Pelodiscus sinensis: one gene and its partners. The protein of the gene in region 4 purifies or fractionates together with the protein of the main gene of each other region. This does not show direct contact. Links are inferred from orthologs where the notes say so. Each region holds a gene or a part of one and is shown on either strand. Other genes may lie near its edges.

The links.
Region 1: the proteins of CHD3 (region 4) and CDK2AP1 purify together in Homo sapiens (affinity purification with mass spectrometry; 6 studies listed by BioGRID and IntAct, with this or other methods). This does not show direct contact. The link is inferred for Pelodiscus sinensis from reciprocal best matches to the Homo sapiens genes CHD3 and CDK2AP1.
Region 2: the proteins of CHD3 (region 4) and MTA3 purify together in Homo sapiens (affinity purification with mass spectrometry; 4 studies listed by BioGRID and IntAct, with this or other methods). This does not show direct contact. The link is inferred for Pelodiscus sinensis from reciprocal best matches to the Homo sapiens genes CHD3 and MTA3.
Region 3: the proteins of CHD3 (region 4) and MTA1 purify together in Homo sapiens (affinity purification with western blotting; 7 studies listed by BioGRID and IntAct, with this or other methods). This does not show direct contact. The link is inferred for Pelodiscus sinensis from reciprocal best matches to the Homo sapiens genes CHD3 and MTA1.

The regions. Positions count from the first base shown.
Region 1 is NC_134725.1:31,508,950-31,516,113, reverse strand, and holds the start of CDK2AP1 (cyclin-dependent kinase 2-associated protein 1), read right to left. Parts: upstream 3,140-7,164; 5' UTR 3,125-3,139; coding exon 2,896-3,124; intron 1-2,895. UniProt on the Homo sapiens protein: Inhibitor of cyclin-dependent kinase CDK2. Also acts as a component of the histone deacetylase NuRD complex which participates in the remodeling of chromatin.
Region 2 is NC_134713.1:169,196,994-169,204,748, forward strand, and holds the start of MTA3 (metastasis-associated protein MTA3), read right to left. Parts: upstream 3,063-7,755; 5' UTR 2,727-3,062; coding exon 2,699-2,726; intron 1-2,698. UniProt on the Homo sapiens protein: Acts as a component of the histone deacetylase NuRD complex which participates in the remodeling of chromatin.
Region 3 is NC_134719.1:64,828,475-64,836,614, reverse strand, and holds the start of MTA1 (metastasis-associated protein MTA1), read right to left. Parts: upstream 3,145-8,140; 5' UTR 3,041-3,144; coding exon 3,013-3,040; exon of another isoform or gene 2,972-3,012; intron 1-2,971. UniProt on the Homo sapiens protein: Transcriptional coregulator which can act as both a transcriptional corepressor and coactivator. Acts as a component of the histone deacetylase NuRD complex which participates in the remodeling of chromatin.
Region 4 is NC_134734.1:10,542,790-10,551,041, reverse strand, and holds the start of CHD3 (chromodomain-helicase-DNA-binding protein 3), read right to left. Parts: upstream 3,262-8,252; 5' UTR 2,590-3,261; coding exon 2,385-2,589; intron 1,754-2,384; exon of another isoform or gene 1,546-1,753; coding exon of another isoform or gene 1,473-1,545; intron 1,467-1,472; exon of another isoform or gene 1-1,466.

The DNA of each region.
Region 1 (7,164 bases), on a different chromosome or scaffold from region 4:
CTTACACAGCCATTCTGAGATCTGCAGGGGATAACCCCACAGATTTCCCATTAACCCTCTATAGCCCTCCCTGCCCTATGGCAACTCTCCTCTCTCTCAGGGCTTGCCTGCACAAGTAACTTGGTTTATAACCTGATCATTGTCCCTAATTCAAGACCCATCCACACACAAAAATCCCATAGCCAGAGGGTGGTGGACCTGCCTGTCTGTATAATCTGCAGCTCAAGTTAGCACAACTCATCAGCTGCTCACACAACAACTTTGGGTAGCTCCTGTTATTTTGCAGTGTGGCCACTCTTGCTGGAGCTAGACTAAGTGGAATTAACCAGAGTGTAGATAACACAAGTGAGCTCTGCAGTGAAGACACAGACTTCAGAAGCATGTCACCACAGTCTCTATAGTCCCACTTGCACCAGAAACCCTGCAGCACAGATTATCAGCACTGTTAGGGACTCCAAGTTGGCCACCTCCCCTTGAAAAACTTGACTCCTGATCACTCCAAGTTCCGATAGAGCAGCTTCTGCAGAGGTGATTTTGGGCCAAAGGGACAGATGTCCTGCTTTTTCAGCCTCTCCACAGAATACAAAGGAAAGGGAGACCCAGGTTTGGAAGCAAACCCAGGATTTGCACTTCTAGCTGAGCTGGTGGTATTTCATTAAAACACAATAGAGAAGGATCCTCCTGAAACTCAGTTTAGGGTCCAGCAAGAAAGGAAGGAAGCCATTTGCAGTCACATCATTCTCAATGCAATGTGTGCCCCTGCAAGGACTGCTTTGTCTAACTCCCTTGGCCTCAGGCCATCATGCTGGCATTGCCACTAGCTAGAGGAAGGGCTGGTGAAGGAGGGATAATGGCAGGAGACAGAGAGAAAGAGAGAGTCCATTTTGGATAACGATTCCGATATTTTTCATTTCAAAGCATCTCTGGGCAGTAAAGCTGACAATTAAGCAAGCACAAGTTAGACAGGGATAACAGGAGCACAACACTGGACTGCTGAAAAGCCACTGAGGACTAATCAAATGAAAGAATTTAAAGCTTGAATCGTGTCATGGTTTATCAGAAATCATATAGACAGAACGAGAACAACAAAAATACAGAAAAAACTTCCCAAGTTACTTAAACTAATGGTCTCAGTAACCTATTTGCCATGGTCTTAGCCGTTTCTTTCATATGAAGTGCAGTTAGCCTTGTGTTTTCCCCTCACTCCATGACGTAAGCCAAAAATCAAAACAAAAAGCTTAGTGTCCCTGCTCTTGTATGGAGGTATTTTAGAGAATGAGACAGATTGTAGTGAGAGACAAAAAGGAACAGTTCCAATGCTTGGGTTTTTTTTTTTTTTTTGGTTTTTTTTTATGGTAATACTGCTTTATTATGTCACAAAGAATCTAAGTCAGGACCATGACTTTTTTTTTTAAATGTAACATGCTGATCTCAAGCCATGATCCTTTAAATACTGACATGCATGCTGAATTTTACACACCTTGGACCTCTCATTAAAGTCAGCTAGAACAAGCTTCAAGCTATTCTCATATATAGGTGTTTGCAGGACCACGGTTGTAGTTCATGTCTTTCTTCTCTAGCCACTGATGACAAATTCCTTTCAGTAGAATGAGATCTGCTAAAATTGCAACTCTCATTGTACCATTTGGGGACTTTTAATTTCTTTAGCACATCAATACCCCAAGAACAGAATCTCAGGCAGTGCTACAAAACCACTGAAGCATATTTCCACTCCGTCTTCAAACATCAAAACTTCTCTCTCTACCCTTTTTGTTTTAAAAGTCACATTTCTTCCTGTTGATATTTTGATATCAGACCTGTAGATGCTATGCATGTGAGTGACCTGGTAAGACTAGCTTGGTTAAACACAATTTTTCCATATTTTGTTTTAGTACCACTAAGAGAGATAAATATATGGGTGATCTCCTGAAAATACCCCACTCTGGATTAATTCCTGCAACTGTGTTCTGAATTTTCTTAATTATACCCACACACACTTTCACATGCATACCCATACAAATACACACACACACACACACACTTTTACAGCAAAGTTCACAACCAAAATTATTTTTTAAATTACTATTTCCTTTGCAAATAAAAAGTTAAATCCATCAAAGTAACTTTGCAGGGGATGGAGAAGCTGGGGAATAAAAATAAACACAGACTGGGGGAAAAATAGGTTTTCTCGAACAAGAATGAAGCGCCTAACATCTCATTCTGGAGGGAGATTTATGCAACACAAATGAATCCTCTCCAAGGCACTTTGAGTGACAATCCCAGGTTACCCAACCCTGCTGGAAAAAGGGGCTTTTGCAGATCAGGGGTGAGGGGCTTTTTTCAAAGTCCCCTTAGGGTGCAGCCCTGGAGAAAGCACAGACAGGGGACAGCAAAGCCCCCAGCCCCGAAGAGCAGAGAGCAAAGGCTGCCTCGCCACACACCATGCGCGGCCAGGCACTTGCAGCGTCTGGCCAGCAGCGGTCGCGGCTGAGCCGCGAACAGAATATTCCTGATCCAGATCAATCAGCAGCCCGAGGGAGGCGATCATGGAGGAAAGCGAACGGCCGGATCAAAAGAGCTACCAACTGAGAGGCGTCGCGCGGAGGCGGCCGGCACCTGGACGCCAGCCTGGGCGCAGCGCCCCGGGGCGCCGCGGGGCTCGGAGCGGGAGCCACGCGGGGAGCCGAAGTTTGCTCCTTGGGAAGCGCAGCGCTGTTTGTGATTAGTAATAATGGCGGATATGAATCAGCTCCGAGGATCTGACCCTACGTATAGAACTGGACAAAAACTACAGTCTGGGGCTTTCCCCAGGTATTCCTGCTGCACCACAGCGCTCTTTTTGTGCCTCCAAAAAGGGCTGGAAAACTTGCCCTCCAGTTGCAATCGGAGACTTACCCTGGTTGATGGAAGTCCCAGGGAGGTGGGCGTTCAAGTTGGGCTTGTAAGACATTCCTAGAGACATTGTAAATTCAAGAAATAAAAATGTCCTGACATTCAGTGGAGCGTCTCTGTGTCTCTCAGACACTTTGGGTTGTTTACAGCGGTAGCAGCACCGGCAAATATGGCCGTCACTTATATTGACACCCACAATGCAATATATCATCCATACATCATTAGGAGACATGAATCCAAAAACTTTAGGGGAGAAAAGGAATTCACATGCCTCACAGCTACACCCAAAGCACTTTAGATTTTTTTTTTTTTTTGGAGGGGGGTAATTTTTTTATTTTATTTTATTTTACAAAGCAAACAATAGAGCTCTTTTAAAAAAACATTGTTTTTTAAATTAACTTCAGAAACTTTTGGCAGAACTTTTGGGGTGAAGGCTTAACATGTAACTTGTTAAAAAGGGTGAGCTGGGGTTTGAGGAAATGTTTCCTGAGCAATATTAAAAGGAGAAAAAAGGTTGAGTTTGTGGTGTTAGAGTGGCTTTGATGGTTTTTGTGGGAGATGAGACAATAATCTGTATTTTTTAAAATATATATAATTTTTCCAATTAATTTTAATGATGAAAAATTTCTGCTAATAAATGTTTAAGCATTTTTCTCTCAATTTTCTATATACATTCTCAAAGGGAAAAAGGTGTTTTTTTCAAAATTATTTTATATATTATATACATTTTTGTCTGACCACCAGACCAGAGGTTGAAGGTCAATATAGACTGCAATATAGCAATGAGAGTTGTAGTGAAAATAAAAATAATTTATAATGAACTGGTTTTCTGATTGCAAAGACATGGTAATGAAAAATAATTTTCCTCACAGATTTAGAATGCTAAGTTTTAAAAATAATATTTAAAAAGTCTTAGAGATCTCTGACCCCAATACTCATTCCAACAATGGATCAATTTAATTGCAACAGAGTTATCCTCCAATTAACCCACAATAGGCCTATGGCATATTCAGTTAAAGTTATTCTAGATTTACATGAGTGTAACTGATCAGAATCAGTCTTCCTACCCCTTCTAGTGGGTTCTATAATTAAACACCATGCTGGAATTTTCACATTACATGGCATTTCCATTGTAAGAGTGTTACTCTGAGAAAGCTGTGACAGTTACAATTTCTACTATTATTTTGCAACCAAATGGAGCCCAATCCTGGCTCCATTTAATGACCGCCTTCCATTGACTTACATGGTACAGAATTAGGGCTAGAGCAGTTTTCATTTCATTCATGGCTTTACAAAAGAAGGTAGGCTTGATTCCAATTTTACAGGTGCAGAAACTGAGTTGCCTGAGGTTAAATAATTTGTATAAGGTGATACAACAGCCACTACAACTCAAGTATCTACACACCACTTCCCTGTTCTACCCATGAAACACTTCAGAGCCCTTATAGGAACAATCATGGCTGAAGCCTGTGAAATAAATTAACTTGGTGTCCTGCAGTTTCATTTTCAACTCCAAATATGTAACAAGTTACTTACAGCAGTGAAGTCCAGAGTCGCGAAGGTTATTGCTTAAACATCTAGGCTGCATCTAGATTGGCATGAGTTTTCCGGAAATGCTTTTAACTGAAAAGTTTTCCATTAAAAGCATTTTCAGAACAGAGCATCTAGATTGGCACAGACGCTTTTCCACAAAAGCACTTTTTGCGGAAAAGTGTCCGTTCCAATCTAGACGTGCTTTTCCGCAAAAAAGCTCTGATCACCATTTTCGCGATTGGGGCCTTTTTGCGGAAAACAAATCTGAGCTGTCTATACTGGCCCTTTTACGCAAAAGCTTTGTGCAAAAGGGACTTTGGCCTGATCGGGAGCAGAATAGTATTTCCGCAAGAAGCACTGATTTCTTACAGTAGGAAATCAGTGCTTTTGTGGAAATTCAAGCTGCCAGTTTAGACAGCTGGCAAGTTTTTCCGGAAAAGCTGCTGATTTTCCGGAAAAACTGGCCAGTCTAGACATAGCCGTAATGCGCGCTGTACTTCATTAACACCAGGCCTGAAAGCTTAAGGCATAAAGTTAGATGCTTTTTATCCCATATTTTCAAAATGGCATCTAAAGGGTGGCTGTGCAATTTTCAAACTCAACAGGAGTCATGCGGCTAACCCCCCCCTCTCATCCAGCACTTTCCAAATTGATGCCTGATGATTCCTGAACCTTTGTTGCAGGGTTTGCACATCACTGTTTACACTGATCCCTCAAATGCTTGTAAACCTTTGCAGAACACATCATTCTTGACCTAATTTTTATGGTCCCGATTCTCCATTACCCTGACCTTCTGCAGTCATTTATACATCTATCAAGTAAATATAGAATGGAATCTTTCTGAGTTACTAGTATTCTAGTGTAAACAAATGCATGTGATGCAGGGCCTCAGAGAATTTACTTGGGACTCACATTGACAGCTTAAAAACATACAATGTTCCTATAAGAAATGTCTTTAAAATAGTGAAGACCCTATAAAATCATCTCTCTTTAAATTACAATAATACAAGGTGTAGAGGGACCCATCTATATTTTTGAGCACTCTCCCCCCCCCCCCTTTTTTTTTCCTTTCTCCACCAATAGAAAGTTTTCAATAATTTAGGGCCAGATTCTCCATCATGGACATCTCTGCAGAGTGGGTGTCTGTTGCCACTCTGCCAGAAAAGTAGGATTTTACATCCACTCTTCAATTCTCCTGCTTAGCTGTGACGACACAATGTGCTAGACCACAGAAAATCACACCCTTATCTTTTGGCACCTGTAAGACCTGTCCAGTTTAATTGGCTTGGCTGGTTATCTTTTGTTCCCAGTTTTCACTCTGGGTAGGCCCCAGAGAAATTGGCATGGGTACAACATGACCAAAAGTGTTTCCCATCTCCCTAATGGTGTGCAGTCAATGTACAATTAGTGGTCTCTTTTCACACATTTGTGGCTGTAACAAAAAATAACCATCCCAGCTGGCACTATAATCTGCTTTGTTGGCAATTTTAGCAATGAGGCCAGAGATGAATTCTCTCAGAGATATTGCCTTTCGGCCAGGCAGGGTCATGGCATGGACCCACATCCTACAGACAGAAAACATCATTTCCATTGTCCTACATTCAGCAGCTATCAAATGCAGTAACCTCTTTTCACAGGACACCCAGTAGAGATAGAAGTTGGGCATCTTCTGTACCAATATCACATCTCTGCCCTCTGAGCTGTCTGCTCACTGGTAGCAACAGTGGACTCTTGATCTTTACATAGGTCAGCCACTAGAAGGGGACATATCCTACAGAACCGATGTGTTACATGGTTTGATGTCCTCTCCCCCCCCCCACACACTCTGGAGGCAGAGATAACTTACAAAATGTGTATGTTCTTAATTTTTTTTTAATCAAGGAGAAAGGCAATAAGTTGGGCTAGTCTCCACTATTTGACAGATGATGTGGGAAAAGCTAAAGTACTCAATGCTTTTTTTGCCTCTGTCTTCACAGACAAGGTCAGCTCCCAGAGTGCTGCATTAGGCAACACAGTATGGGAAGGAGGTGGGCAGCCCTCAGTGGAGAAAGAACTGGTTAAGGACTATTTAGAAAAGTCAGACATACAGAAATCCATGGGACCTGATTTAATGCATCCAAGGGTGCTGAGGGAGTTGGCAGATGCTATTGCAGAGACATTGGCCATTATCTTTGAAAACTGGTGGACATTAGAGGAGGTCCCAGATTACTAGAAAAAGGCAAATGTAGGGCCCATCTTTAAAAAAAAAAGGGAAAAAAGACAATCTAGGGAACTACAGACTGGTCAGCCCCACCTCAGTCTCTGGAAAAATCATGGCGGGGAACCTCAAAGAATCCATTTTGAAGCACTTGGAAGAGAGGAAAGTGACCAGGAATAGTCAACATGGAATCACAAAGGGCAAGTCATGCCAGACCAATCTGATTGCCCTTCTATGACAAGATAACTGGCTCTGTGGACATTTGGAAGGCAGTGGAGGTGATACACCTTGACTTTAGCAAAGCTTTTGATACGTCTCCCACAATAGTCTTGCCAGCAAGTTAAGGAAATATGGATTGGATAAATGGACTGTCAGGTGGAGAGAAAGCTGGCTAGATTGTTGGGCCCAATGGGTAGTGATCAACAGCTCGATGTCTGGTTGGTGGTCAGTTTCAAGTGAAGTGCCCCAAGGATTAGTTCTAGGGCCAGTTTTGTTCAATATCTTTATTAATGACCTGAGTGAGGGCATGTCTGCAGATGATA
Region 2 (7,755 bases), on a different chromosome or scaffold from region 4:
CCCTTCTTCTCTTCTCCAGACTAAAAACCATCATTTTTTCAATCTTTCCTGATAGCTCATAATTTCTAGACCTCGCATCACTTTTATTGCTCTCCTGTGGTATTTCTGCAATTTATCCACATCTTTCCCATAATATGGTGCCCATAACTGGACATAGTATTCCTGCGGAGGCCTTATCGAAAAAGTGATCATGTGTTTCATTTTGGCCGATACAGTCCCATTTTTAGACCGTCATGACTATTCCAATTTTTGACAAACCTAGGCAATTATCCTATTTGCTCTTACCAACTGTTCGTCCGTTAGCAAGAGCAAACTGGAAAAATACATAGTTTTGCCAAAAAAAAAAAAAAGGGACAGGAGTGTACCTTGTGCCAATGTAGGATGTCCCATTTCCCTTTGGGAAAATATAGTCACCCTACATCAGTGCTCAGTAGAGAGGAAGAATTACTTCTTTTCTCTGATGTATAACACTCCTGCTAAAACGTCCTATAATAATGTTTGCTTTTTTTTTTGTAATTGTACCTACCACATTGTTGTCTCAGATCTAGTTTGTTATTCACTGTTACACCTAGATCCTTTTCTGTCATAGTCCTTCCTAAGCAGTCATTTCCCACTCTGTATTTTTGTAATAGACCCCTTGGGAGGGACAGACAGGATGGAATTGATCTCACCTTCATCACTTTTACTATCTGTAATTCAGGCTTCATTAGGAAGTGATTTCACAAAAACAGGACACCCACTGGCCTTGTCCAGTTTGTCCTTTATATTTTCCCCAATATGCACTGTAGGATGCTGGTTTGGGGTGTGATTAGGAGAAGATTGAAGAATGCTATTAAACACTGAGAAGGTATGGTTGGAAAAGCTAACTTCAGCTTTTCCTGCAGCACTAATCACATGACTGTAACCACTGACTGGGCATTTTATTGTGAAGGAGAGGGAAATTGTTATGGCTTGTCTTTACCCACAGCCACCTTTAGTTTATAAGGGTACATCTACATAGCAACATTATTTTCTAAATAACTTAGACCACATCTACACAGGAGGCAGTTATTTTGAAATAATGTCGAAATTTGGGACGTAAGAGACGTGGCAACTAGTCGACTATCCAATAAACAAGATTATCAGACTGTCAACTAGTGATGCAACTAGTCACTTCCACCTCCTTGCTGCCGCTATCAGAGAGAGGAGTAGGAGTCAGTACTGGGGGGAGACAGCTTAAAAGTCAGTTCCCTCCAGCACTGCCTCCATGGGGGGCAGGGGAGGTAAAGGCACAGCGGAAATGGTGCGTGCGAGGACTGAAGCAGTCTCCGCTTGTGCTGGTTCTGCGGTGATTCTGCTTTTGAAATGAACCTGCTGGGGCTCTTGTACATTTCAAAGGCTCGGGTGCTGCAGAGACCCTGGCCAGGCAGGAGTCCCCACTGGTCACTCAGGGCTTCCTTTTGAAATGTACAAGAGCCCCATTAGACCCCACTACCCCCGCACTTCCTGGGAGGCTTCTATCTTTGAAATGTAGCAAGAGCCCAGCAGGAGGCGCCCTTATAGACTAATCAAATAGTCTATTAACTATTTGATTAGTTAATTAATCTAAATTTAACATCCCTGATCCATATACTCTCAAGCTGAAGGACGTCTTACTTCAACGCCTGTAACCCTTGTTGTACGAGGAGTAAGAGAAGTCAAAGAGGGCTCTATTTTGAAATAAGTGCCGTGTAGATGCTCCCAATTCCAAAAAGCTATTTCGAAATAAGCTGCTCAACTGACATAGCTTGATTTGCATAGCTTATTTCGAGTTAAGCCCCGCTGTGCAGACACACCCTAACTGGCCTCCATTCCCCCTGGCCCAATGAAGCCAACACTGTGGTGCCTGCCCACAGAACTATGCTGATTGGTGGAAAGATCACAATCACAACTAGCCAACCTGACTTATTACTTAAGGGCAGGGAGAGAGTGCAGAGGGAGGATTTTGCCTTGCAGGTAGCCAATGACATTAGGGAATAATAAACGAGAGTCGTTGCTGTGCTGCAGAAGTTGCTGGGCGGATACAGGTTGCCCACTCCCATCAGGCCAAAGCAATGTGGGTTTGAGCCAGGCCCTTTCCTCCTTCCTGGTGGCAGGAGAGACTAGTCACCTGGAGGACTGCTACTGCCACATTGTGGGGCAGAAGTGGCATCATTTCCTCTCCTCGTGGGAGACCCATTCTTCCCAGCTTTCCTGGGACATCCTGCCCCTGTCGCATCCCCTAGTGGTGGCTGGGCGCAGGCAGCATGTGACCGCCTCCTGGGCAGCTGCTGAGCCCCCTCCCCTAGTGCTTTGGGGGCACTTGTGCTGCCCTTTTCCTCCCCCTCCGAAAAGGCCTGCTGCTCCTCTTTCCCGTTCCCCCTGTGGGGGCAGAGGATGCTCCCCACCTTCCCCTACTGGGGGGCTGCCCCCTGGGGAGGCAGAGCCCACTCCCCCCTGCGGGCAGAGGGCTGGGCCCCCTCCTTTCCTGGCGGAGAGGCGGCTCCTTCACCTCCCCACGCCCCGCGGGGAGCCGGGCTGGGGCCCCCTTGGGCGTGGGGCGCTGGCTCCTTGGGCTGGGCGCAGGGGCTGAGCTGGGCGCCAGGCTCCCTCCTCCCCAGCGCGCTACACACAGCGCACGCCTGGAGCCCCCGGGCCCGGCCCGGCGCGGCGCGGGGAGCAGAGCCCGGGCCCCACATACCTCCCACTCGGTACATGTTGGCCGCCATGTCTGCGCTCCGCGCCCTGCTCCTGCTGCCGCCTGGGCTGGGCCGGGAGGGAGCGGCTCGCTCTGCCCCCCTGCCCGCCCCGGGCGCCGCCGCCGCCGCCGCCGCCGCCCTCCCCGGAGCTGCTTGGGGCGGGGCGCGGCAGGGCAAGGGTTAAAGAGCTGCCGGGCCCGGAGCCCTCCTGGCTCGCCCGTGTGGGGACGCGAGCGGCGCCAGCGCACGGATGGCCCTGCCCGGGCGGACGCTGCACCAGCGCCGTGTCCCGCTGCGCAATGGGGGAGGAGGGGTTAAAAGTTTCCCTCGTGGTTCTGGCCCCAGCAGGACCAGCGGGGACGCGGTCGGTTTGCTCGGGGGGCAGGAGCGCACTGGGGCTTGGAGGCGGGTGGTGCATTGGTACGTGGGGGCAGGAAGTGCATTGTGTGAGTGGCTTAGCATAGGCACAGCGGAGCAAGAGGCTAGGGCGCTGGGTGGGTTCCTGTGTGTGTGTGTGTGAATGCGCCCCTGCACGAGGCGTGGGCGTAAGCATGGAGCGGCCTTGGCTAGCTGGGATTCAGTATGTGAGTGTGACCCCGAGCAGCACAGGTGAGGGGCTGTACATGGAAGGGCTTTGTTGTCTGCTCGTGTAGTGGCCAGTGTGCACCTGTCCGCCCAAGCACTGGAATGTGTGTCTGTGCGTGGGTGCACCAACCTATCTCGGTGTATGTGACTGAGCGCACGTTCTTTTGTGTGCTCCTGCATGGGTCTAGGTGAGCCTGCATAGCTGGGTGTGTCTGAGGTTGTGCCTGTCTGTACAATATGTGCGTTTGTGTACACAGAGTAGGTTTCCTGCCCCTGTAAAACCGGGCATTTCCTTTGAGAGAGTTATTGTTACACTTCAATTGTCCTTCGCTTTCTGATTCATTGGAAAGTATTATCATTGTAAGTTGATTGTTCCTACTTTATTTCCATCAAAATGTTGAATCACAAAACTGATCTAGTCAATAATGCTGTTTATCCTAAAGTTCTTGTCCAGTGCAACTTTCATATGGTGATTCCCCAACCATCACAGACCTCTTGTTTGTTGCTGCCTTTTTTATAACTTGTAGGCCAATTATTGCTATATCATTTGCATCATAGGCTTTCTATAAGTGATTTGGCAACGGTCAGTCAGCAGCAAAGATAGGATTTAGGTAGAGCTTCCCCATTCTTTGTCCCATTGGATCATAGTTTCTACTTAATATGATTTAATTAATTGCTTTATCTGAGCCATTCTGTGCTATGTTTTGTATGGTTTTTGCACTTATTCTTTAGTTTGTGGTCTTTGTTCCATGCTGCAACTCTAGAGCTATGCATGGATATAAAATTTGTATCCACATCCACAAAAAATGAGCATGGGTATCTGCATTGATACCCGTATATATGAAGTGGATATCTACAAACTTGCAGCATTCTGGATACAAAATTTGTATCGGCATCTGTATCCACAAAAATGAGCTGTGAATATCTGCAACCCTGCCTGTAGTATAGAGAGAATGACTGTAATGACCACTGTGCTTATCAAATAGATTCTCCCATTTGGTAACTATCATTAAAAAGAAGTCGCTTGCCTTTTTATTCACTGAAATATGTTAGATTTTCATTTGCTTTTCCCTGATGTTGGAGCATTTGTGTGTTTGTTTAGCAATAAAACACTATCCATTCTTCAGTTCTGATACTCTCCTTGAATCAATATTTGGTGGCATATGAAACTTCTTATGCTGTTTTTGACAATATTGCTCATTGGTGAAAAGCACTCAGAAAAGTCTACAATATAGCCTAGAAAACAAAGACTTCTAGCAACTTATCTTGGAATCAATAAATGCTGAAGAACTGTTTACAAATAAAACTGATTCAACAGTGTTCCCAAAACATCAATATTTATGTAACAAATATACTCCCTTGTTTATTTGAAATTTATTACATGAAAAACAACCATTTAACAGCTGGGTTCTAGTTTGGCCTGTTCCCTTTTAAAGAAAAGGCTTCTCTTTTGTTGTTGTTTTTTCTTACAGAGAGGATGATGGGTCATTCATTGCATGTCCCAGAATTTCTGCTTGTGTAGCTTGAGCATTTTCAAGCTGGCATCTCATTTCTTCCCTGATCTAAAGGGAAATGTAGCATAGAAATCAAGCTGTTGGGGGGCTAGAGGAGAAGAATCATTAGCCATAATAAATATGAGTTTCCTTGTCTTCAGTGCATATTTAAGTAAATCGTATTCCAACATCATTTTTTATTAAATGAGCCTGTGACTATTAGGTTAAGATTTCTGGTATGTTGTTGAACACTACGCTTTTTATTTCCTGACTTAGGGGTTCCAGTGGAAAAACTCAGTGGTACTGTTGCTGCAACACATTACATGATAGGTGGCTCAGGTTTCTCCATTTCATGCACTCATCTCTCCCCCACTTTGAAAAAAAATTGTCATTTTTGAAAGGAAAGTCTGAATTCCCTATCACTGGAAGGAAAATCTGCTAGATGCCCCTAGGAACTCTGTATTCAGAGAGCAGAAGCTGTACTTCAGCACACATTTCTCTGAAGGGTCTGACATCTCATCTGGAATTTCAAAAAGAATCCTGCTTCTTAATACTTCCTCAAGTAGTGAATGATACCAAAGCTTAAATAAAATGGAAAAGGCAAAGAAGTGCAGTTTTGCAAGCAAGGACACACTTAATTCACAGGGTTGATTAGCCTGTTCTATGCAGTCATTTTCACTCTTTAACAATGCCTTTGGGCTTTTATGCTCAGTCCAGATCTGCACTGCAGCACTAGATAAGTTTCCCACACACAAAAGCTCCAAAGCTTGTTTCTCACCAACAGAAACTTGGTCCAATAAAAGATATTACCTCACCCACCTTGTTTCCTCATTGTACTCAGATCTGACAGGAGGCAATCTCTGCACTTTCCTTCCATGGGCAGGAAATATGAGCTGAAGATTTTACATCTATATGGGCAAAAGGAAGGTATTGATTGAAGAATATACATTTTTCCTTCAAGCACCTGAAAGTTACAGGTTGACCCTCTGTAGTCCTGCACTCTTTAGTCTGGCAACATCCATGGTCTGGCATGATTTTAGTTATGTCTGCTTATCGTGGATGTGGCCAAGTTTCCTGCACTTCTATAAAGTTTTTCTAAAACCACCAGTCCTGGCTCTCAGTGTTCTGTGCTGTTATTTAGCTCTACCCCTAAATATCTTCTCAGAACCCAGTAAGCAGTGGAAGAGTAGGTAATGCTGCTACACAATATTGACCTTCTGTTGTTCAGCAAATTCTCTGGTTCGGCACTGGTGAGATCCCAAGGGTGCCGGATTAGAGAGAGAGGTTCAACCTATATATGGTCCCAATGACCCAGGGAAGGACAAGGAAAACCAAAAAAAGAATGGTTACCAGGGCATAGAAAATCCATCCCTAGTTTTATAGTCAGCGGATAATAGGGATGTTAGAAATTGGTTATTTTAATAACTGTGTAAACACTAAATTTCATAATGGTTACTCATGCCTCCCCTCTGGGCAGGGCCAGCAGCCAGTGTGCTCCCAGTCCCACTCCCGAGAAACCCCCTGCTACCCTAAGCTGTTGCCTCCATAATGGTCCCAGTTAAACACAACAACTTCCCCTTCCCCGTGCTCCGTGTTTAAAACTCAGACTGGCAGGCTGGCTCAGTCCCAGCCCGCCAATCTGAATTTTAAATGAAGAGCATGCAGAGGAGCCGCCTGCCATCCTGTACTGCTGCCTCTGATACGGAGGCAGCACACGGGAACCGGTCCATCTGACACTTTGTTTTGTTGCCTTTGTATCAGAGGCAGTAGCAGCCCCGTCCGTGGGCGGGGCAGGGGAGAGAGACGGCCAAGCTCCCCATGAACAAAGTCTGCTCCTGCATCTCTGTGGGACATGGGCGCAACCTCTCTCTGCAGAGAACTCAGGGCCCCTGCGGACAGGAGCTGCTGCTGCACTATGCTGCTGGGTCCCACATGGATGGAGCTACTTCACCACAGACTGGCTCCTGCCTGCCACCCTGCTGCCTCTGCATGAGAGGCAGCAGCATGGGGTGACAAGCAGCTGTCGTACATGCACTTTATTTAAAACTCAGAGCTGCAGGCTGGGACTGAGCCAACCTGATGGTCTCAGTTTTAAATGAAGAGCCCAGGGGAGGGTTAGGGGAGTCAGGCATGGTTGCAACTAACTGGTTACCCGGGTAGCCATTACCATCACTAGTGGATACTGGGATAGACTTCAGAAATTCCTGGGTGTCAAAGCATGCAGAGCAAGCTTGATGAATAAAATGTATGTACTTCAGTATTAAGCATAAGAACCCGGACTACCTCATGCCTGTAGTCACTTACTTTTGTCCTAAATCAAGTGGGTTGGGAGCTACTGTCCCACAGAAAAATCAGTCAGGGGCTGCACACATGTGAGAAGCAAAAAAACCCAAACAAACTCTTAGGCTACATCTATACTACAAGGATGCATCTAGACTGGCAAGTTTTTCCGCAAAAGCAGTTGCTTTTGCGGAAAAACTTGCCAGCTGTCTACACTGGCCGCTTGAATTTCCACAGGAACACTGACTTTCTACTGTCTGAAATCAGTGCTTCTTGCGGAAATGCTATGCTGCTCCCGTTCAGGCAAAAGCCCTCTTGCACAAATGCTTTTGTGCAAGAGGGCCAGTGTAGACAACGCGAATTGTTTTGCGCAAAAAAGCCCCGATCGCGAAAATGGCAATCAGGGCTTTCTTGCGCAAAACCGCGCCTAGATTGGCACGGACGCTTTTCCACAAAAAGTGCTTTTGCGGAAAAGTGTCCGTGCCAATCTAGATGCTCTTTTCCGCAAATGCTTTTAACGGAAAACTTTTCCGTTAAAAGCATTTGCGGAAAATCATGCAGGCCCAAGGCTTTTGCACAATAATGGCAGTTTTTGCACAAAAACCCGCAGAGCATCCTCACCTCAAGCGTGCTTTTGCGCAAGTAAATTGATAGTAAAATGCCAGAACAGAGGGCTTTTTCTGGTGTCGGTAAGTCTCCTT
Region 3 (8,140 bases), on a different chromosome or scaffold from region 4:
GCACACAACTCTGCTCCCCATGCGCCGCCATCCTGCCCTACCCCATCCAGACCTACCCTCTCCCACACACCCCATCCGAACCTACCCTCTCCCAACCCCTCGTCCTGCACACCCATCCAGCCCTACCCTCATAACGCGCACCCCATCCAGCCCTACCCTCTCCCGACCCCTCATCCCGCACACTCCATCCAGCCCTGCCCTCTCCCGACCCCTCATCCCGCACACCCCATCCAGCCCTACCCTCATAACGCGCACCCCATCCAGCCCTACCCTCTCCCGACCCCTCATCCCGCACACTCCATCCAGCCCTGCCCTCTCCCGACCCCTCATCCCGCACACCCCATCCAGCCCTACCCTCTCCCGACCGCTCATCCCGCACACTCCATCCAGCCCTGCCCTCTCCCGACCCCTCATCCCGCATACCCATCCAGCCCTACCCTCTCCCGACCCCTCATCCCACACACTCCATCCAGCCCTGCCCTCTCCCGACCCCTCATCCCGCACACCCATCCAGCCCTACCCTCTCCCGACCCCTCATCCCGCACACTCCATCCAGCCCTGCCCTCTCCCGACCCCTCATCCCGCACACCCCATCCAGCCCTACCCTCATAACGCGCACCCCATCCAGCCCTACCCTCTCCCGACCCCTCATCCCGCACACTCCATCCAGCCCTGCCCTCTCCCGACCCCTCATCCCGCACACCCATCCAGCCCTACCCTCTCCCGACCGCTCATCCCGCACACTCCATCCAGCCCTACCCTCTCCCGACCCCTCATCCCGCACACCCATCCAGCCCTACCCTCTCCCGACCGCTCATCCCGCACACTCCATCCAGCCCTGCCCTCTCCCGACCCCTCATCCCGCACACTCCATCCAGCCCTGCCCTCTCCCGACCCCTCATCCCGCACACCCCATCCAGCCCTACCCTCTCCCGACCGCTCATCCCACACACTCCATCCAGCCCTGCCCTCTCCCAACCCCTCATCCCGCACACTCCATCCAGCCCTGCCCTCTCCCGACCCCTCATCCCGCACACCCCATCCAGCCCTACCCTCTCCCGACCCCTCATCCCGCACACCCCATCCAGCCCTGCCCCTCTCCCGACCCCTCATCCCGCACACCCCATCCAGCCCTGCCCTCTCCCGACCGCTCATCCCGCACACCCCATCCAGCCCTGCCCTCTCCCGACCGCTCATCCCGCACACCCCATCCAGCCCTGCCCTCTCCCGACCCCTCATCCCGCACACCCCATCCAGCCCTACCCTCTCCCGACCCCTCATCCCGCACACTCCATCCAGCCCTGCCCTCTCCCGACCGCTCATCCCGCACACTCCATCCAGCCCTGCCCTCTCCCGACCCCTCATCCCGCACACCCCATCCAGCCCTATCCTCTCCCGACCCCTCATCCCGCACACCCCATCCAGCCCTACCCTCATCCCGCGCACCCCATCCAACCCTCCCCTCCCCCAACCCCTCATCCCACACACCCCATCCAACCCTACCCTCATCCCGCGCACCCCATCCAACCCTCCCCTCCCCCGACTCCTCATCCCGCACACCCCATCCAACCCTCCCCTCATCCCGCGCACCCCATCCAACCCTCCCCTCCCCCGACTCCTCATCCTGCGCACCCCATCCAATCCTACACTCTCCCAACCCCTCATCCCACACACCCCATGCAGCCCTAACCTCGTCCCGCGCACTCCATCCAGCCCCACCCGCGTCCCGCGCACCCCATCCTGCCCTACCCTCTCCCGACCCCTCATCCTGCACACCCCATCCAGACCTACCCTCGTCTCGCACACCCCATCCAGCCCTACCCTCTCCCGACCCCTCATCCCGCACACCCCATCCAGCCCTGCCCTCTCCCGACCCCTCATCCCACACACCCCATCCAGCCCTACCCTCTCCCGACCCCTCATCCCACACACCCCATCCAGCCCTACCCTCTCCCGACCCCTCATCCCGCACACCCCATCCAGCCCTAACCTCGTCCCGCGCACCCCATCCAGCCCTACCCTCTCCCGCACACCCCATCCAGACCTACCCACAACCCCACACACATTAGCTGCTCCCCCCCAGAGCATCCAGCCCACAACCTCAAAACATGTCAGCCCCCACAACTCCAAGCCCCACATTCTACTCCATCCCTACGACCCACTGCCCCAGAGTCCCCCATCCCCTGCCAGCCCCAATTCTGCCCACAACCCAACTCTGCACTCTGCCCCAGCCCTAAGACCCCCAACCCACATGCACCCCAGATTCTACCCCACTCCCATCTCCCGCCAGCCCCCCACGCTGCTCCCAGCCCCCCTGCGTTCTACACCTGCCCCCCACGCTGCTCCCAGCCCCCCCGCGTTCTACACCTGCCCCCCACGCTGCTCCCAGCCCCCCCGCGTTCTACACCTGCCCCCCAGCCTCCCCACGTTCTACACCTGCCCCCCACGCTGCTCCCAGCCCCCCCGCGTTCTACACCTGCCCTCCAGCCTCCCCACGTTCTACACCTGCCCCCCACGCTGCTCCCAGCCCCCCCGCGTTCTACACCTGCCCCCCAGCCCCCCCGTGTTCTACACCTGCCCCCCACGCTGCTCCCAGCCCCCCCCGTGTTCTACACCTGCCCCCCCCCGCTGCTCCCAGCCCCCCCGCGTTCTACACCTGCCCCCCCGCTGCTCCCAGCCCCCCCGCGTTCTACACCTGCCCCCCCACGTTCTACACCTGCCCCCCGCTGCCCCTAGCCCCCCCACGTTCTACACCTGCCCCCCACGCTGCTCCCAGCCCCCCCGCGTTCTACACCTGCCCCCCCCCGCTGCTCCCAGCCCCCCCGCGTTCTACACCTGCCCCCCCCGCTGCTCCCAGCCCCCCCGCGTTCTACACCTGCCCCCCCGCTGCCCCCAACCCCCCCGCGTTCTACACCTGCCCCCCCGCTGCCCCCAGCCCCCCCACGTTCTACACCTGCCCCCCCGCTGCTCCCGGCCCCCCCGCGTTCTACACCTGCCCCCCCCCGGCCCTACCTCCCACCCGGTACATGTTGGCGGCCATGCCCGGGCCGGGCCGCTCCCGCGCCGCCTCCAGGTGCCGGATCCGCTGGAAAATGGAGGCTGGAGCGGCCGGGAGGGGGAGGGGAATTAAAGGGGCCGCGCCGGGCGGGGCGGGTCGGAGCCGGGGGAGGGGCCAATGGGGGCAGGTTAGGGCTGAGGGGAATAACGGGGGGGCGGTTGGAGCTGAGGGGGGAGGGGTAATGTGGGGGGGCAGGTTAGGGCTGAGGGGAATAACGGGGGGGCGGTTGGAGCTGAGGGGGGAGGGGTAATGTGGGGGGGCAGGTTAGGGCTGAGGGGAATAACGGGGGGGCGGTTGGAGCCGGGGGGGGAGGGGTAATGTGGGGGGGCAGGTTAGGGCTGAGGGGAATAACGGGGGGGCGGTTGGAGCCGGGGGGGAGGGGTAATGTGGGGGGGCAGGTTAGGGCTGAGGGGAATAACGGGGGGGCAGTTGGAGCCGGGGGGGAGGGGTAATGTGGGGGGGCAGGTTAGGGCTGAGGGGAATAACGGGGGGGCGGTTGGAGCCGGGGGGGAGGGGTAATGTGGGGGGGCAGGTTAGGGCTGAGGGGAATAATGGGGGGGCGGTTGGAGCCGGGGGGAGGGGTAATGTGGGGGGGCAGGTTAGGGCTGAGGGGAATAATGGGGGGCGGTTGGAGCCGGGGGGGAGGGGTAATGTGGGGGGGCAGGTTAGGGCTGAGGGGAATAATGGGGGGGCAGGTTGGAGCTGAGGGGGGAGGGGATAATGGGGGGGCAGGTTGGAGCTGAGGGGGGAGGGGATAATGGGGGGGCAGGTTGGAGCCAGGGGGATAATGGGGGGGCAGGTTGGAGCCGAGGGGGGAGGGGTAATGTGGGGGGGCAGGTTAGGGCTGAAGGGAATAATGGGGGGGCAGGTTAGGGCTGAGGGGGATAATGGGGGGGCGGTTGGAGCTGAGGGGGGAGGGGATAATGGGGGGCAGGTTGGAGCTGAGGGGGGAGGGGGTAATGGGGGGCAGGTTGGAGCCGAAGGGGATAATGGGGGGGGCAGGTTGGAGCCAGGGGGATAATGGGGGGCAGGTTGGAGCCGGGGGGGGAGGCAATGTGGCGAGAGGGCGGGTAGGAGCGAAGTGGGGCAGGGGCAGTACGGGCTGGCTAGTGGGGGGAGAGGGAGCTGAGGGGAAGGGGCAGCAGGGAGGCTGAGAGGGAAGTGGTGGGCAAGGGGAATAGGGCAGTGGGAAGTGGCGCTAGGGGGATGGGCTGGGAAGGAGGCAGGAGAATGGGGCACAGTGGTAGCCTTAGGGATGGATTCATCCATCCCCAGGGCCCCAGCTGCCATCCTCTGCCCTCGGCCAGATCACACCTGCTCCACACCCTGCGGCGGACAGCAAGTGGGGCCCTGCTGTGCTGGGGCAGCCGGCACTGAGGACAGGCACCCAGCAGACTCTGGAAAGGGGCAAGGGTTGCAAGCGGGAATACGAGGCACTACAGCTCTTTGCCTAGGCGCTCGTACTATACAGCATCATTCTTTGCCTCCTGCCTGCCCAGCAGAGACTGACAGAAGCTGATTACACCACTGTCCAGCTGAGATGGAGGCAGAAGGGAAGCATCAATGTATGGAGGGAGGCTGGGACCGCACCACTGCCGGAAGGAGTGACTATATTTCCCTGCGCTGAATACGGGACACCTGGTAAAATTACTCATATTTAAGCAAGTTCAAAGGCAACCCGTCACAACTATGCAGGACTCACATTCAAATTAACGTCAGGGTGACTGCCCCTTCCTGAAAGAAAGGAATAGTGCTCCCTTGGAATCTTTTGAATGACCTGCTATCGTTAAGGCTGTAGGGTTCATACGTGACAAGGTCACTCACACACACACACACACACACACACACACACACACACACCGCCATCCACCTCTCGAGATGACTGACTGATCCAACCCTCCATGTCTGGCTGGGGCTCCAGATGGACCCACCGCTCCAGGGAGCTGGCACAGCAAGCCCAGGGCAAGTTGTGGGGAGGAGCACACAGGGTCACATGCTCCCGTCCCCAGATTGCTGCTGGGGTTCACACCAGAAGGTGGCCAGCAGCAGCCTTGCAGCACTGTGCGGGAGGGAAACGATGACCTGGCCATCTTCCCCCCGCCACCTACCCTGTTCCTCTGTGGCTGGAAGCATCTTGTTTCTTCCCGCCCAGTGTTGAAAGGCAGCTAACACCTCCAGGCTGCTGCTGGCCACTGACAAAACCCACCCAGCTCCTGTCCCCCAACTACAGCATGGACAGGAAACGGTTAAGCCCTAAGGCTGCCCTGTGCGCCAGCATCCAGTGAACCTGACTGCAGGGGCTTCAGCCGAAGGAAGTTAAATTTAGATTAACTAACTAATTGAATAGTCAATAGGATTTCCATCGACTAGCCGATTAGTCTATAAGAGCGCTCGGCCTTTGAACTGTAGCAAGAGCCAGCTCGGAAACCACACAGGAAGCACGGAGCCAGCAGGGGATTGGCCCATGCTCCCTGCCCTGGCTCAGCCTTTGAAATATACAAGAAGCCCTGTGGGTTGTACATTTCAAAGGCTAGTACATTCCTTGTACATTTCAAAGGCTCAGGTGCCATAGGGAGCCTGGGGCCAGTAGGGGAGTCCCCACTGGCCTGCCCCAGCTCCCCACAGGGCTTCAGTTTTTGAACTGTACAAGAGCCCAGTATAACGACAATTTCAAAAGCAGAATCGCAGCAGAAGCGGTGGGAGTGGAGACTGCATCAGTCCTGCTCTCTCTGTTTCCTACTGTGCCTCTACCCCCCCCCCCCCCCACGGAGACGGTGCTGGGGGGAACCAGCTTTAGCCAGCTCTCCTCCAGCACCGGCTCCTGCACACACAGCCCTTGCTGCCTCTGCCAGAGGCAGTGAACGGGGGGAAGCAACTAGTCTCATCACTAGTCGACTATGCAATAGGCTTATGCTTATCGGACCATCGACTACACGCTCACATCCCTACTTCAGACAATCTGGCCCGAGAGGAGGGTGCCTAGGGGACCAGGTGCCAGGGTAGGGCAGCAGGGGAAGGGCTGCTGTTGCAGAGCCTGCAGGAGCACTGTGCATACCGGGGACTCGCTCCCCTCTCCTGCTCCAGAGCTTAGTTGACCCTCCTCCTGGCCCACACACTGGGTGGGAGGGGCTTGAGCTTTCCCAGGCCCCAGCCCTGCCAGAGCAGAAGGGGAAGGATGGAGCCTGCCCACCAAGCTGTTGGTGAGCTGAGTGCACCGACCCAGGACTGTGGGGGGTGGAGGAACAGTGGGGCTGGTAGGGGAGGGCAAAGGGGCACAGCAAGAGAGGACAGTGAGGGGCAGCATGTAAAGAGCTGATGAGTGGGCAGCAGAGATGACACGTAGCTGCCTGCCTGCAGGCACCGGCCCCCATAGTGCACAGCTATTGCTGGCCACAAATGGGAGGTCGGGAGGACAGGGCTGCTCCCCAAGAGCCGGCATGCAGCAAGAACAGCACTGGTGGATTAGCAGGAGGAGCGGCCAGCCCCACATGCTGCACCCGGTTCCATCATCAGCCACTGAACTCAGCAGCAGGACTGGCCAGTACTGGGGGAGAGGGAGGGAGGAAATCAGAACACACAAGACAATTTGCCCATTTTCAAGAAGTCAGGACACCTGTAAGAGTCTAAATACTAGTCTGTCCTTTTAAAGTAGATCTGGTCACCTTATGGAATATGCTTGACCTTTGCCGAAGTGTTTGACTATGTTAGTGGCCTACAGGGTTCACAGTTGACCCTAGCTTATTATTAGATGACAGATATCTATTCCTCCACTCAACTGGGGCCAGGATGCTTGAAATTGGCCCCAAATGGACCAATTAAGTAATATTATACCCATGCAAGTAGAACTCCTTCCTAAACCCAAGGGCTGTGTCTAGACTGGCAAGTTTTTCCGCAAAATCAGATGATTTTGTGGAAAAACATGCCAGCTATCTACAGTGGCCGCTTGAATTTCTGGAAAAGCAGTGACGATCTCATGTAAGATCATCAGTGCTTTTCCAGAAATACTATGCTGCTCACATTTGGGAAAAAGACTTTTCCAAAAGACTTTTGCGCAAAAGGGCCAGTGTAAGCAGCACAGTACTGTTTTCCGCAAAAAAGCCCCGATGGCGAAAATGGCAATCAGGGCTTTTTTGCGGAAAACCACGTCTAGATTGGCCACGGACGCTTTTCCGCAAAAAGTGCTTTTGCAGAAAAGCATCCTGCCAATCTAGACGTGCTTTTCCAAAAATGCTTAACGAAAAACTTTTCTGTTAAAAGCATTTTCAGAAAATCATGCCAGTGTAGACGTAGCCAAGCAGTTAGCATCATGACCCCTCAGGAAAAAGTTATTTTCTTCTAACATGGAACTGTAGTAAGCTAAAGAAAACCAAAATTATTCCTGAAGCTGTTCTCTCTCTGTTTCCGTCTAGTGCATCTGTTCCAATCATTCCCAGCCTTCCATGCTTGGATTTCTGCGACAGCGGTAAGGAAACAGCCTCACATTTCCCTCAACGTGAACAAGGTAACAAACATCTAATAAAAGTTAAAGAATCCCAGCAAGACACCAGCTTCATCTAGAGTTAGGTCTTGTCTTCTGACCTCAAGGAGTTTTGTCCAATTGAAAGTCACTTGAATTTTCAAATATCACAGTGAGAAACTGCTGTCCAGTAGCTTCAGCAAGGTTACCTCCCTTCACTATGGCAGCCACCAGAGTACCTTTGTAGTTAGGGTCACGTCAGTCCTGCTGGGCTTGGAACCAGCTGAAGCTACTTCCTCTTCCTTCTTAATTAGTTTTGACCATACAGAATTTCCATCTGCAATTTGTTTTGCTGGTGCTGTTCAGTACGTTTCCCTGTTTTTTTCAGGCCTGGGTTTCCTACTTTAACTTTGAGTATGCTGACAGTTAAAGAAGAAAACCAAAGCACCTTTCAGATGTGGACCCTCTGAGCTCCACAACTTTTGAACAAGACCACTCAGACCTAAAACGTACTTGTGCGATTAGCACCCAGAGGCATATACAAGTTTAACAAAATCTGCTTTAAAACCGGTTTCAATTAAAACGGGACAACATTGCTCTGTAGATGAGACCTTAAAAAAGACTGT
Region 4 (8,252 bases):
CGTAGGGCAAAAACAGAAGTCAATGGCAAGCTGCCAAACAAGGCCTTTTCCCATGAGGCAGTGACTCCCTTCACTCCTAACTTGGCTGACACACAAGCCAGTCCCTCAAGGCAGCCACCACATTCAACCTAACCCTGACCTGACCACTCCCACCATGTCCTGAAGTCACTCTCTGCCTCTCACCACATTCAACCTGGCCCTCTCCAATTTTCCCTCTAATTATTTCCATCCATGTGCAGAATACATTTTGTTAAAGTACATCACCAGTGGAAACACATGCTGCTGGCTGTGGGCACTCTGCTAATCAGCTGGGCAGTATTTGAATCTCTCTGGGTGGCTGTCCAAGCGCATAGCTTACAGGGAACCCTAGCCCTGACTCACCCATTCCCCTGCTTCCGATTAACCGTGGTCTCAAGTCACCCTCCGCTCCCGCCACAACCTGGCCCTGACCCAGCCACTCCTTGCTTTCAATTAATCCTGTCCTCAAATCACCCTCCGCTCTTGCCACAGCCAACATGGCCCTGACCCATTCCACTCCCACCACAACTGACTACCCCTATCCTCATATCACCCTCTGCTCCCGCTATGACAATGTAGTCCTGACCCAACCATTTCTGCTGAGAGTAACGGGCCCCATCCCATCTCAGGTGATGCAACTCTATTCAGAGGGGTGCCAACTCTTCTCCACATAAGCTAGTTACTGACCCCCACCCCACAAGACACAGCCATGCCCAGGTCTAGGTAACCAACATGGCCACGTCCTGTGGACAGCAGAGTCATCTGCACTACTGACATGCCCTCCCCCTGCAGAGAGCCCATCCCTCTTCACTGCACCACTGCTAAGGGGGCCCATCCTGTAAGGCACAAGTCAAGTAGGGTGTGGAGCCCTATTTGCTATCTACTCCCCCGGGGTCCCATCCCCAAGAAAGTACCACTAATCAGAGGGCCAAAAGCCACCTATCACCTCAATACCAGCAGGCCAAACCCTACAGGTTCCCAAGCCCCCTCCCCAACTGATCACACAGGGCATCAAGCCCTCTCCCAGGTGGCTGGTTCCTCGAGGTTCCCTCCCCACCAATGACCCATGTGGCCTGTCCTGCCTGCCAGGTGTCCTCCATATCTGCCAACTAAGCACAGGGCCCCATCCTGCCCACCAGATACCAGATGGCCAACCCCCCCCCCCACTCCTACCAGAACCCAGCATCCCCCACTCCCACTAGCAGGCCCTGTCCTGCCCAGTGGGCACCAAGTACCCCCTCTCCTGCCAATGTCCTGAAGGCCCAATATTGCCTATCAGGCAACCACCCCACACTCCTGCTAACCTCCAATACATCACAGCCTGTCCACCAGGGCACCAAACACTCCTGCCAACGCCCAGCATGCCCCATTCTGCCCACCAGTTGCCAAGATCACACACCCTTGCACCAAGCACCCACCATCCCAGAAACCCTGTCCAGATCAGCCCTGCTTACCCCTGTGGGGGCTGGGGATGGGGAGAGTGCCATGTGGTGGCCCATCCACCTCCACTGATAGAGCTGCCCTCATCTCTGGGGCTGGGGAACCCTCCTCTGCTCCCCTTTACCCCAGGAGGGGCATGAACCAACTCACAGGCAGAGGGGCACTTTAAGGGGGGGGCTCTGTGCTGCCTCCCCACTTTCGGGGGGGGGAAGGGTAGGTCCCCTTCTTCATTGGAAGTGAGGGAGGGGCATCGGGCCCCACTTCTGGGGAGGACACTTCAAGACCAATTGCCTGCACCCTTCCCCCATCCTGAACGTTCGAAACGCGGGCGGCGGCGGCGGGTGGAAACTAGAATCCCCCCCCGTCAATGTTCCAAAGCCACTGGGCAGCGCGCGCGGGGAGGGGGATTAGAAACTCTCGTACCCCACCTTAACGTTCCAAAGCCTTTGGGCAACGCGCAAGGGGGAGGGGAGGATGAACTCTCGGCCCCTCAGCGTTATCAAAGCCGTTGGGCAGCGCGAGCGGGGGGGGAAAGGGGGTGTCGGAACTCTCGGCCCGTCAATGATCCAAAGAGGGGAAACAGGGGGGGCTGGAAACTCTCCCCTCTGGGCAGCGCGCGCGCTTGCGGGGGGGAGGACGGAGGGCGGGGGTGAACTCTCGGCCCCTCAACGTTCCACTGCTGTTGGGCAGCGGGCGAGGGGCAGGGTGCGAACTCTCGGCCCCTCAACGTTCCGCAGCCGTTGGGCAGCGCGCGCGGCGGCTGGGACTGTGGGGGGAGGGAAGTCGGAACTCTCGGCCCCTCAACGTTCCGCAACCGTTGCTTGTTTACAAACAATTCCCCCCCGCCAACATTCGAAAGCCGTTGAAGGGAGAGTGGGGGGTGTTTTGGCGCCCGGCTCTGGGGTGAAGGGGGGAGGGTTGTTTACCTGGAGGCGCCTCAGCTGCTAGTGGGGTGGATGCTGCTGGTGCTGGTGCCAGTGGAGCAGCAGCAGGCGGGAATATGTCGCCTGGGCTGTTGTCCCCTGCTCCTTCTTCCTCCTCCTCTTCCTCCTCTTCTTCTTCATCCCCCTCCACCTCAGACACCACCATCTCCTCCTCCTCTTCCTCGTCCTCCCTCAGAGGGGAAGCCATGGTGGTGCTGGGGGGGGGCAGGGAAACAGAGAGAGAGAGAGAAGGGGGGAACAACCCCCCTTCACCACACACAAAATTCCTCTTCCCCCCCCTTTCAGATCACCTCAGTCAAAAAAGAACAGCCTGAAAAAGTCCCATGGATTCAAAAAGAGGGAAAAACTCCTTTTTAACTTTTTCCCCTCCCCCCCTTTAAAATATAAAAATGGGGGGTAGGAAAGAGAAAGAGGTTTAAAATATATTTAAATTCTGAGGGGGCAGCCCAGCATAATATTTGCCACAAGAGCAAGGAACAAAAATGGCCGCCCTTAAATTATTTTTAAAACAGACCCCCCCCAGGAGGGAAAAAGGGGGGAAAAATCCCCCACCCTTTTCTTTATTAAAAAAAAAACAAAATGGCTGGCTTGATTTTAAGTCACCCCCCCTCCCCACGGCATACACACCTCTTCCTTGAGGTTCACAGAAAAAAATCCCCCAAAACCCCCCTCAAAAATCAATCCAAAACAGTCACAACAAAAAAGATTCCCTCCCCCTTATCTTAATTTTTCTCCTTATTGTTGCTTGTTTGAGTCTCTCAGCTCATTGCATAGATGAACAATATTTGTATATTCCTGGCACTGGGGGGGGGGAACTGAAAGAGAAAGATTTCTGCATAAAACAAAGATGGCTGCTCTAAATTATTTCTTTTTTCTTATACTTCTCCCCTCCTCCCTCAATAAAAATATTTTTACGAGGGGGGGGGACAGAAAAGGCTGGGATTAATCAGTACTCATGCTCAGTGTGACATCAGCATAAATTGTTAAAGGTTAACTAGTTCCATACTAGTAACACCATATATATATATATATTTTTTTTTTGGTTGCTTTACTAGTTCATGCGAAAGATAAGAGAAGGGGGGCCTTCTTTTTTCCCCTTCCTTTCCTACTTTTAAATACTTCAGAAGGGAGTAGGGTTTTTTTTTCTTTAGGCTTAGGGCAAGAAAGGAAGAACCAAGAAAAAAAATAATTTAAACTCGGTCCAAATTCAGTGAAGTGCATCGAGGGGACAGATTTAACTCTGTCTTTTCCTTGGTGTTTTTCAAGAAGGTTTTACACTCTCACACAGACATACACACACAAAAATGAGATTTCCCCCCCTCGCTTTTCTATTAAGAAAAACCGCCCTTTCTTTATAGTTAGCTTTCCCCCCTGAATTTTATGTCACCCAGATAAAATCAGGGGGCAGAATGTAATTGTACCTTTTTTATTTTTCTTTTAAGGCTCTGCTTTTGGAGGGGGGAGATTTTTCTTAAACTTACAGCAAGCACTCCAAACCCATCTAGGTTTTTTACAGACACCTCCAAAACGCAAATGGAATTGGGGTGCTCCTAAAAGTATAAGGTACACAGAACTCTATGGTCCTGATCCTGTGACTGGCATTGCGCCTGCAACTCCATAGGCTTACAGTCCTTATCAATGGCAAAATAGGGGTTCAGTGATCCTGTCCAGTGTTTATTCCAGTGCATAATCCCCATAGCAATGTGTTTAGTAAGCACGTGTGGGCTTGGGCCCTAACTACAACTTGGATGCACCTCCACAGAGCCTGATCCTGAAAATGTTACAGATATATGTAATCTGTTTGCAGGACTGGACCATTAATATTAAAGAGTCTGTTCCCATGAGATGACAAGGAGTTTTGCAATAGACTTAACTAAGTACAAAATTCTACCTAGAACTGGGAAATTCCAAACTTTTTTTTTTTTTTTTTTTTGCATTTTCGTAAGCTATTTGGTTGTGTTCCTTAAAATCAGGGAGCTCCTAAAGTAAATGTATAAGGGATACAGTCTCTATAGTTTTATTTTTTTTCTTTGAAAATATCAGTATTTCAAATGCCCTTTCCCCACACTTCCAAAATAAGACCTCCTAAAGGAAGAAGGGATGCAATCTTTTCGGATTCCATCGTCTTTTCAAATGCATCTGGTTTTCTATGACTATCCTCATACATTAAAAAATGCAACAAGTAAAATAAAAACCCCAATCCTGCATGGATCTATACTAGCAGATTCAGTTGTAGGACCAAGGCCTAATTGAGGCACTCCTAACAGATCCTGTAGTTCCCTATTTGTATTTGTTAAACTTTCTCCCTTTTGTTTTCCTTCTCAGGCATATTATACCCCTAATTGTTTTGTTTTCTGTATATTAAAATAAAAGAAGAGGGCACAAATGCTAATCCCACCACAAGGCAAAGGTACAGTCCTGGGAACAATTAAGCATATGAAACGTCACAGCCTGTCTCTAAACTTTTGCAATTTTCAAATACTCTGCTGCCTAGAAGAAGCAAATAAAATTACAATTTGGGATTGGGTGGGAAAGAATTTATCTTCAATTTTTATAGGGAAAGTGTGATGATTATTAATTTTTCTCCTCTATTATCTCTCTTTATGACTGTCAGTTCCAGGAGAGAAATTTTCATATATTTTAAGACCAGAAAGAAGTGCTACGATCATAGAAAGGGCCAGAGTACTGAGTCACTACTTTCTGAATAAAGCACATTGTAGACAAAACTTCTGAACTGTAAAGACCCCCATGGCAATGTTGGTCCAAGGTAGACAGCCTCCCTTGCACATTTCCGGGGAATCTATCTGGGAAAAAAAAGATAGTAATCCGAGACAGGTGACCATTATCATGCAATTTTTACACAGGGAAAACTACCTACCAGCATTATAACTGCAGACATAATTTTCATAATCGTAATATAGCCATCAGTTCTGTATGTCTATTAATTGTGTTAAACCTGGTAGGAAAGGGTTTGTATTTGTATGCTCATCACTAGGAACGTTCAGTTAGCTGCTTAATTCTCAGCTCCATTCCCCCTGCAGAATAGTCATAAATACCCACATAGGATATGCCCATTGCCTGCAGGGAAACACTGCTTGCCAACCAAATGTTTCCCTCTGTGCCTTTTATATTTAATTCAACACCCCCTACAGCCTTTCAGGAGCATGGGCGCTGATCCCATTCATTCATGTTGAAACAGTTCCTTGGCGGTGCTAAAAGCCAAGGGTTCTGGAGGAATTTGGAGGCAAAAGGGGTGGACTCAGGTTTTACTCTTTGGCTTTAAAATGCAATAGACAAAGAGTTTTGGAGAGTTTTTTTTCCAGTTGATTTCATGATCTTTGGCTTATTTCGTCTTCTGGTTAGCTGCTTGGAAGGGGGAAAAATTAAAGGGCATCTGATAATCTGTTTTTCAAGCTGCTAATTTAATGTTTGCAAGGTGGTTAATATGGTATTATCATACCGTTAAAAATACACACCAAGAACAAGACACAAATTCATGACAATGATAAAAACTCTTCTTAAACTTGTTTGTGGCTCCTGGTTTATATTCCCCAGGGAATGGTTTGGTGGGTTGTGTGTTTTGTTTTGTTTTCTTTTTAACCTCTGTCTCCTATCTCTGTTTGGTGTTTCTTTGTAGCTCAGCAACTGTCAGAGGGAGACCACCGAAGAAACATAGCATGGTACTAATAGAGAAGTTGTAGTGTTTATCAGAATGGTTCGCCTATCACATTTTGTCTTGCAAGAGGATCAAAGAGTCGATACGGACATATCCAGTCTCCACTTCCCCCAAGGGAACTGCCTCTGTTTGCACTGGAAAAATCTTTCAAGGCTACTGTCACAGCCTTGGCCTCTTCCCTGCTGGTTTTCTAAATCAACACTTTTTTTCTCTCTCTTTAATAACATGTTAAAGTTGTGTAGCGATCTACAACAATAGGAGAATGCCACATTCAATCCTAAAGAACCAGAGGGCAAAATGCTGACTCCAGTGCAATTAATGGGAGTTTTGGATGTGGCTTCCATAGGGCCAGGCTTTCACCACAGCTCATTTTTGCAAACATGAACTAGAAAACATGTAGCATTTACTACTTCATGGTCTCGCAGGTAAGACACTGGTTGGGATCTCAGGGAAAAGGGATTAAATGTGCAGCTCTGCCATGCATTTGCTAAAGGATTTAGGGCAAGTCACTTTATCTTTCCGTGTGGCAGTCTGGTTTATTTAGGCTGTAAGCTCTTCAAGGCAGAGTCTGCCTCCTCTGCTACACACTTGTGCAGCACCCAGCATAAGGGAGTAAAATTTCAATTGGGCCTGAACAATTTCTGAAACTGAACTCTGGCTTACTACTTATTATCATAGTGGCATAGGATTTACTATGGTAAGTAATTCCAACTGTAGGGCTACTCAGGATAATATACAGATGGTAGTAACCAGAGCAGTCACTTGCTTGCAATAGGCTTTAACAGGGGCATAGGCCTTGGGTAGCCTTTGGCAGAGGGGTGGATTTTAAGTCTGGCAAAAATATCATGTTAATGTTAACCCTACAAATGTGAACTTAGTTAAGTATTACAACCTTTCCAAAGATTTTTTTTAATGTGCAAAATTATATATGATAGTATCATACTGTATAGCTATATATTTTTTAAATACATGTATAATTTTTAATATATAATTTTGCACATTAAAAAAAATCTTTGGGAAGGTTGTAATACCGTGAGATGGAAAAATTACAAGATGTGTCAAGGTTTGGGGAAATGGATAGAAGCCACTTTACTTCTGAGCATGGACTGTACATCATTTTAACCCCTAGCTCTAATACTTCTGTTCTCCTCCCCACCCCACCATGGCATTTAAGCAGAACCATTTCCCTCTCTGTGAAACAAAAATGATGATAATCACTTGCGTGTAACAATACACACTGGTCTCCTGGTGAAGATTAATTGGGCAGTAATGTGGTGTGCTGAAGATTAAAGGTCGACGTCTGAGATGGTGTAAGATGGTATACTCGCACTGACTTAGGTAAAGCTCTCCTGGTTTACATCAGCTGAGGACCTAGCCATAAAAACATTATAGAAATGTTATGCATTAATACCATCAGAAAGACCAGAGCAGCAGTTTATTTTTATTTTTTAATTATTTATTTAGGAAGTTTTAACAAGTTTACAAATCCTTGTTGTGTAAATATCAGAAACAAAATAATCATCACGGCAGTTAGCTTTTGCTTCAAGAGACACTACACAGGTATATAGTCATCCAGTCTTTTTATTTAATAAGGTGTTACCAACCATATTACCAAAAAAGCACCATTATAACACCAATGTCATTTTTAGTGACTTTGTTAAACTGAGTGAAATCTCTGTATATATGCATTTAAAGTATCAGGTATGACTATCTAATATTAATATTCAAAACATTTTGCACACGTGTCCAGTTTTTTGGTTGTTGTTTTGTTTTGCAGATGAATGTGCTTTGAGTACTGAATAAAAGGTAGCCAGATATCTAAGAATATAGCCGTCCTTTGTCTATTTTGCGTCCACAATTGCTGTATTTTTCCAATATTTTCCAACAATTTCTAATATTTCTTAAACTATTTATCCATGGTTAGGCTATTTTTCTTTTTCCAATGAGAGGCAACCATGGGCCACTCAGTTAATTACAGATAAGATATTAATTCTTCATTTCTTTTTGTGGGACCATTTCCACTAGGAAGCTCCACAAAGCTCAACAAAGGTTTTTTTCAGGGAAGCTTCTTTTGGGAACATTCGAATCTGAACACCCAAACAATCACCACAGATTAGGGATTAAAGAACTGTCTCAGATAATCTGTGTTGGAATACAGGGATTTTATCTGCTTC